Canis lupus familiaris: one gene and its partner. Each later gene encodes a partner of the first gene's protein in a complex. Links are inferred from orthologs where the notes say so. Each region holds a gene or a part of one and is shown on either strand. Other genes may lie near its edges. The genes, in order: NDUFAF1 and COA1.

Evidence for each region.
Region 2: NDUFAF1 (region 1) and COA1 share a complex: the UniProt entries of both Homo sapiens proteins name them as parts of the mitochondrial complex. The link is inferred for Canis lupus familiaris from reciprocal best matches to the Homo sapiens genes NDUFAF1 and COA1.

Annotation. Positions count from the first base shown.
Region 1 is NC_049251.1:8,740,410-8,744,225, forward strand, and holds part of NDUFAF1 (complex I intermediate-associated protein 30, mitochondrial), read right to left. Parts: intron 3,497-3,816; 5' UTR 3,424-3,496; coding exon 2,848-3,423; intron 1-2,847. UniProt on the Homo sapiens protein: As part of the MCIA complex, involved in the assembly of the mitochondrial complex I.
Region 2 is NC_049239.1:6,682,051-6,685,866, reverse strand, and holds part of COA1 (cytochrome c oxidase assembly factor 1 homolog), read right to left. Parts: intron 1,357-3,816; coding exon 1,208-1,356; intron 1-1,207. UniProt on the Homo sapiens protein: Component of the MITRAC (mitochondrial translation regulation assembly intermediate of cytochrome c oxidase complex) complex, that regulates cytochrome c oxidase assembly.

The DNA of each region.
Region 1 (3,816 bases):
CCAAAATCTGTATTTTTTTTTTCCAGAGACACATACACACATACACATACACAAACACACACACACACACACACACACACACACACACACACACACACAAAGGGAGACAGAGGCAGAGGAGACACAGGCAGAGGGAGAAGCGGGCCCCATGCAGAGAGCCTGATGTGGGACTCGATCCCGGGTCTCCAGGATCACGCCCTGGGCTGCAGGCGGCGCTAAGCCACTGTGCCACTGGGGCTGCCCCAAAATTTGTATTCTTAACAACTACCTATACTGTCTCAGGAGAAGTGAATTGTAGTATTAATTAACAAAGGTGTTTGTTTATACCAATCGCAAAAATAATCTGATTTCAAGAATACTCACATATGAACTATTATTTACTAGCTGTCTTTTTAAATTTTTTTTTTTAAAGAGAGAAAGTCTGCACACACCGTACATGTGAGTGGGAGGGGAGGGAAGAAGAGGAAAGGGGGACGGAGGAAGACAGGCCAACTTCACCCTTATAATCTGAGACGAAACCAAGAGTCCACTGCTCTACCAACTGAGCCACCTAGGTGCCTCAACTAGCTGTATAACCTTAGTCAAGTTACTAAATCTCCCAAAGCCTCAGTTTCCTCATCTGTAAAATAAGGATGACCATACCTTAGAGGATAGTTGTGAGGAATTAAAGGGATGTATATACGTAAATGTATATGAAGTAGCACAAGGACTGGCAGGGCACACTTAATAAATTTTATCACCTATTTGCAATACCCCCCAGGTGTATCTAGCTATAGAAGTATTTTCTACTGTGGAATGACCAATCCATTCTGTGGATTTCAGGCACTGAAACACACACACACACACACCCTTTGTACGCATAGGTCTCTGAAAGAACACATACCTTTCTTTCTCATCTGGAAGGAGGGAGCCTAAGACCATCCCTATCATTTGCCTTTCTCTGTAAAGCACAATGCCCAAGCAAATACCCCAGGGCTGTGGCCGAGGCCAGGCATGGAAGCTTGTCCAGGCAGCCCTGGAACAACACCTCAACAGCAAATTTGCAAAAAGCCGTAAGTTGATGATGAGACAAAGAAGCCAATCTAAGTAACTGTGGAAAACTGCTCTGATTAGAAACTATAAGGCTAAAGACAAAGAAACTATATATAAACACTATATTCTGGTTGGTAAAATGGTTTCTCACAGAGTTATGGGCTAAAAGTTCTGAAACTGCTTCCTACATACACTGGGGATGAATCAATAGGTAAAATGATGGCAAGTGATGGGAGACAGATTTCTCACTATCAGAGAAGAAAATTATAGATAAGAGGGAGAAGCCCAGAATGAACCACATGGTACTACTGGATTAGAGTTCGAGCACAGTATAAACTCATATTTAGTTTACTACAGATATAGAAATAATTACAGACATGTTTCCAAAGGGTTGGTACACATCCCTGTATTTCCTGCTGAGGCCACTGAGAGGTCCTGGAAGTAATGTCAACCCAGTAGCAACAAACAAACCAGTGCCTAGATCTCCAAAAAGAAGAATCAGGGCTTTTTCAAGAAATGGCTAATTCTATGGAATTTTCTACAGAAAATACAAGATGTGCTTAGAGCATATCTTGTAGTGCAAGAAAGTACTAAAAAACAAACAAACAAACAAAAAAATGGAGGCATGTCAAAGGGACAAAAGCCAACCTGAAAGAGCTGCCAATTGCCAAAGCTGGAAGAATCTGAGCAACAAAATAAAAAACATAGTATTGGATTATAACCAGACTTTTGAGTCCATACAAAATGACTGCCTAACTAAATAAAAAATGTGGGAGAAAAAAATTTTCCTCTTTGAAGAATCCCAAATAATTTATGTAAATTCCACCCTTTCACAAGATACAACTTAAACCCATGCCCTACCCCATGCCTTGAATGTAGGATGCACTTACTGACTTGCTTCTACAGAACAAAGTATGAAAAGAAGGGGAAATAGTAACTTAACAATGGAGTACCCTGGCAAACACTATCTTGGCCAGGTGATCATGGCGAACACATTCGTGTTAAGTCATGTTGGTAGCATGTACCCAATAGGAGTGATGAGAAGGGTATTTCAACTCTGTGGTATTCTATCTAAAAGCCCAGAAACCCAGTCTTACAGGGAGAAAAACATCAGAAAATCCCAAATTGAGGGTCAGTCCACAAAATACCAGACTAGAATTTCTCAATCCTCATGAAAAATAAGGAAAGACTAAAAAGCTATCACAGACCAGGAGACTAAGGAGCCTAAGGAAACATGACAACTGGATGTAATGTGGTGTCCCAGATGGGCTTAAGCAGAAAAACTAGTGAAATCCAAATAGTGTCTGGAATTAAGAGGAATCCGCCAATGTTGGTTTCTCAGTTGTGACAAATGTATTACATCAATGTAAGGTGGCAAGAGTTGGAGAAGATGAATGAGGGGCATATGGAACTTTCTGTACTATCTGTACAATTCTTCTGTAAAACTAAAACTATCCTAAAATAAAAAGTTTACTTAAAAAAAAAAAAAGCAACAGGCTGAACCTACATCTGCTCTAAGGAACCTCTGGCCATCACAGGGTGTGTGGCCTACTAGGGAAATCTCCCCAAATCAACTGTTTAAATGTCTGACTTCTCAGGGCTCCTCAAACATAAGAACGGCCCCATTCTGGTTCTCAGGAACCACTTCCCCCTTATGCTTCTGCTTTACACATGTGCCCAGTAGTTACTTAACCCCATTCACAAATGACCTGCCAGGTGTGTTGATTTACAGAAACAAAACCCATATGCTACGGTTCATGCTACAATGAAATTCACCCCAGTTCACTAGAAAACAGGCTCTGGGGCTTCACTTACCCTTGGAATCCTGGATATCATTGCACAGTACCCACTGCGGCCACTTTCCCCGTCCTTAGGTGCCTCAGAGCTCAGAGTCCCATAGAGCAATGCACTCTGATTATTCCTGCCCATTTTCAGGAACACTTCACTTCTGCCTCCAATAGTCTTATCAGAAGTCACCATCCACTTATCTAAATCTTCTTTTCCTCGGAACTGCCAGACAACCTTGGCTTGTTCCAACAAGACCTCATGCAGAGGGCGGCCTTCGGGGCCTATCCAATGATTCACAATATCATCCTTCAAACGCCTAAACTGGTCCTTTATTTCATCTTTAATTGCTTTATCAAAACTAACTAAAGGCTTCTCCTCAGGAGAGGTTATATCCAAAGCAGCTTCTCTCTGGTGATGTCCCTGCAAATCTCCTTCAGAATTCCTCTGAGAGGAGGTTTTGCCAGGAGCAGCTACAGGCTTCTGAAGACTACTAGAACAATAGTCTACAAAATGAGTACCCAAAAATGGACATGAGGCAACATTTGGCTTTGGGCATTTTCTGAAAATATAAGTACCATTCAGAAATTTGAGAACCAAAGCCATGGTACGATAAAGTCCAAATGTAAATTTCTCCCTGGGCTATAATGGAAAGAAGCTTCTAACACCACAATTGCACCTAGAACAGAAAAGACATTGAACAGTTACCAGGGTAGCAATGAATGCATCACAATTTCAAATGCAACACAGATTGCGTTGTGAAATTCAGCAACTTATTTTCTAATTCTGTAAACATTTACCCAGAGCCTATTATGAGCAGAATATTGTTTGTGCTGTACGTGAAGCATCCCACTGCCTTGTGAAAAAACACCAACAGGCAAAAAAACAAAGACCCCCTTCACAGAGTTAATTATTGACCCCAAAATAATTCAGTTATGCACTTCATAAGGTTGTGTCAATCTTAAAGCAAATTTTTACGCTGGATTTTTTTTTTAAGAT
Region 2 (3,816 bases), on another chromosome or scaffold:
CTCTTGCCTAGTGGTACTGCCACCCTTCCATTCACCCAGGTTGGACATGAAAGCATCACTTCTGACCCACCCTCTCCTGACAGAACCAAGCCACAGCTCTGGCCCATGCTCTCACCACTGCACATCTGCATGGCGATGCTGCTTTCCTAAAGGCAGTTCCCCATACCTGTTCCCTGGATATCATCAATCAGCTTGAATTTGCTTTCTTTTAAAGCCAGATCAAATACTTTATCAAAATACTTGAGCTTGAATAGCTTTTGTAAGAAAAATATCCCAATGAAACAATTCCCATTAAAAAATTCATAAAAACAATAACCCCCCAAAAAACTAGATTAGGTCATCTTGCTCTTATCATTAAAATCCTTCCAGCTTCTGCTGGCCCCAGAATCAAGTGTGCACACTTCACATGATGATGTCACGGCCCTGCAGCCCAGCCCAGCCCAGCCCAGCTACCCACATCTCCCTCCACAGCCTGTACCTCCACTGAGTTCACCCTGGCAGGAAACACGGCGGCATGCCTTCACGTGCATGCTGCGCCTGGGCCTGGCATTCCTTTCTTCTACGACAATATTCCAGGTCAATACCTGCTCCCTCCGGAGCCACTACGACAGCACTTGCCTCACTCTGCCTTACTTGGAAGTTTTAAGCTATAGTCCTTGAAAGCCTGCATCTCTATATTCCCCACGCAGCATAGAATCATTCCTTTAATTTGACATGAACTCAAAACATAGTTGTCAGGTTGATTTTCCTGGCTGAACTATAAAAGAACATCAGATGCAACTGAGAAAATGGGACTGGCTTCCCATAGAAGCAATGCAAATAAATGGGCAGCAAAACTACAGTTTCCAGAGTTGCTCATATTTGAATGAGCACTGACTGGCTGTGGATGTACTTCAAGTTCAAAGCTGAAGCTGTGGCTCCACCACCACACTCACTTCCCTACAACCTTCAGGTCAAGATGGTGACCTGAGCCAGAACACCTCCTTCCCTGCACCATTAATTCCTCAGAAAGGAAGAAAAATATAGGAGAATAAATTAACCCATACAGCCTTCAGAAGTGCTCAGTAAAACCTAGGGGCAGTTTTGCTCAGTGAATTTTCTCATAAAATCTTATTCCAGATTCCTCCTAGACTCCCCCCAGATGGTGGGAGCCCTCTCCTCGACTTTGATAGGCACTCAGCCTGAGTCTGCACGGGAAGCACATTACCTGGGCATCAGCAATGTCCACAAAGTTGTACTTGTCAGTGAGGTGGAGATAGTGGATGTGGAGAGGAGGGCCCAGGGCTTCCAGGGCCTCAGGGCGGCTGTGCAGCTGCTCCAATGCCAGCTGGTAATAGGAAGCCTTGGAGAAAGCTTCTAAAGGGGAAAGACAGTTGTTATATATTTATTTTTCTTTTTTCAACTTGGTAGACTCTCTGCAGAAAGTCAGAGGACACAATTCACGTACAGCATGGAAACAGAAACAAATGTGAAATTTCTGGATGGAAAAATAATTAGGGGGATCCCTGGGTGGCACAGAGGTTTAGCGCCTGCCTTTGGCCCAGGGCGCGATACTGGAGACCCAGGATCAAATCCCACGTCGGGCTCCCGGTGCATGGAGCCTGCTTCTCCCTCTGCCTGTGTCTCTGCCTCTCTCTCTCTCTCTCTGTGACTATCATAAATAAATAAAAAGAAAAAGAAAAAAGAAAAAAAGAAAAATAATTAGGGACCATCCACTGTTAAGCTGTCCATTTTAGAAAAAGTCAGTATCTGCAGGAATATGGTAGATGAACGTGAGCAAGGTATTTGATAGTCCTATGCCTCAATCTCTCCATCTCCTGTTTCCTGCCTCACGCATTGCCTCATTTCTTCATCAAGGGATTGGCTTGGAGCTTCTCCAGTTTTCCTTTTAGTTCTAAAGTCATATGATTCCATGACTGGCTCAAAGTGACACAGCCCAAGGCAGAGCTGTGGCCACAGTCTATGACTCTGAACTTTTAAACACTGCTCCCTCCACTAAGATGAAGGTCCTGATAAACTGGCAAAAAAAAGGACCACACAAAACCCTTGGGCCAAGAAACAGAAACTGAAAATGCTAATTTGTCATGTTTATAGATTTTTTTTTTAAATATTTTATTTATTTATTCATGAGAGACACAGAGAGAGAGAGAGAGAGAGAGAAACACAGGCAGAAGGAGAAGCAGGCTCCATGCAGGGAGCTTGACTTGGGACTCAATCCCAGTCTCCAGGATCACGCTTGGGGCTGAAGGCGGTGCTAAACCGCTGAGCCACCCGGGCTGCCCATCATGTTTATAGATTTTTTTTTTAAATCATGTTTATAGATTTAAGGTAACATTTCATGTAGGTAAAGCCTTTAAATTGTCCTCAGTCGTAGGTACACTTCTTGGTCCAAAGGCTACTAGTAGAAGCACCTCCCTGAAGGTGTAAGATAGACAAGCTGTCCCTGGGAAAGAGCAAGAGTAGGCTTCCCAAGTAGGGTTTTCAGTTTGGCAACAAGAAAGAGCTTCCTTCCTATAGGCCTGACCTCAATTTTGGGACAGAAAGACACGTTGAGCCTGGAGGGGCCAAGGAGAATACCCCTCGCAGGCTGCATCCCAGGAGTGGGCTTGTAGGGGATGCTGCAGGTATGAACAGGTGCCAGCCAAGACAAGAAGAGGAGCAGTGAAGGCTGGCTCCAGATTTTCATGGCTAGACACTGTTCTCAATATTTCGTGTGTCTCACAGGGCTCAATAGATCACAGGTTGTGAGATTTTATTTTACAACAATTTCATGCACAGGCACTAATATTATCTCTCATTGCACAGATAACTGAGGTGAGAGATCCTCCCACAGGGCCACACAGTGCAGAGCTGGAGCTGGGATTCAACTCAGGAGGGTGGCTACAGGTACCAGCTGGGGTGTCTCTACTGGATGACTCCAGCCTTCTAAGAAGGAAAGGCAGGCAGTCTCCCAACCCCTAAAATGCACCCATTCGTGTTGTGTCCTGCCCCCATCCCCGTGGCAAAAGGGGAGAGGAGACTGAGCTATTCCAGTCTGAATTATCCCTGGCGGTGCTCATCTCAGGTCACCTCAAGACTCTGAGACCTGTGGGCCAACTCTGAAGGAAGATGGGGAACAATGTATGCAGAGGACACTGAGCTCTCATTGCCTGTCTGCTGGTAATACTCACATCCTGGCAGGAAGTGAAAATGGCACAGAGTCAGAGTGAGAAGCCAAGCTCGACAGGCATAAAGGATCTTCAAAGAAAGTCAGTCTTGGAAAAAAAAAAAAAAAAAACTGCTGCTGCTTTGCAACCAGCAGCATTAAAATGACCTTAAATGCCTTGGCTGTCCACAGTAATTGTGGCCTGTCTTTACAAATTCAAATTTGGTTGCAGTGGGGCTGGACGTGGCATCTGTCAGGATTTTGCATTCTGGACCCTGCTTTTATTTTCTGCTCTCACCAAAGTCTCTTGCTCAAGGTCCCCTCCTCCACTAAATCAATAGCAGAGAATGGCAGGGCAAACAGGCTGACGACACTTGAGAATCAGCCAGTTTTCCCCACCTGTGAACCATCTGGTATTCCCCTTCCCTCTCTTCTTTATATAATCTCAGAAATCTTAAGGGATCTCTTGTGTGTGCACTAGAGTAAAAGCTCATCTTGCTTTTTGAAAGGCCCCTGATGCAAATGAATCCTGGTCCTTTTATTTGCACTCATAGCTCCAGGAAAAACTAGGATTATAGGATAAGCAAGAAGCTATAGCCAATGGGAATAGTGTACGGGCTTCTAAAAATAGCCCTCTCCTCCTTTCTCTAATCTGCTGAAAGCATCTGAAG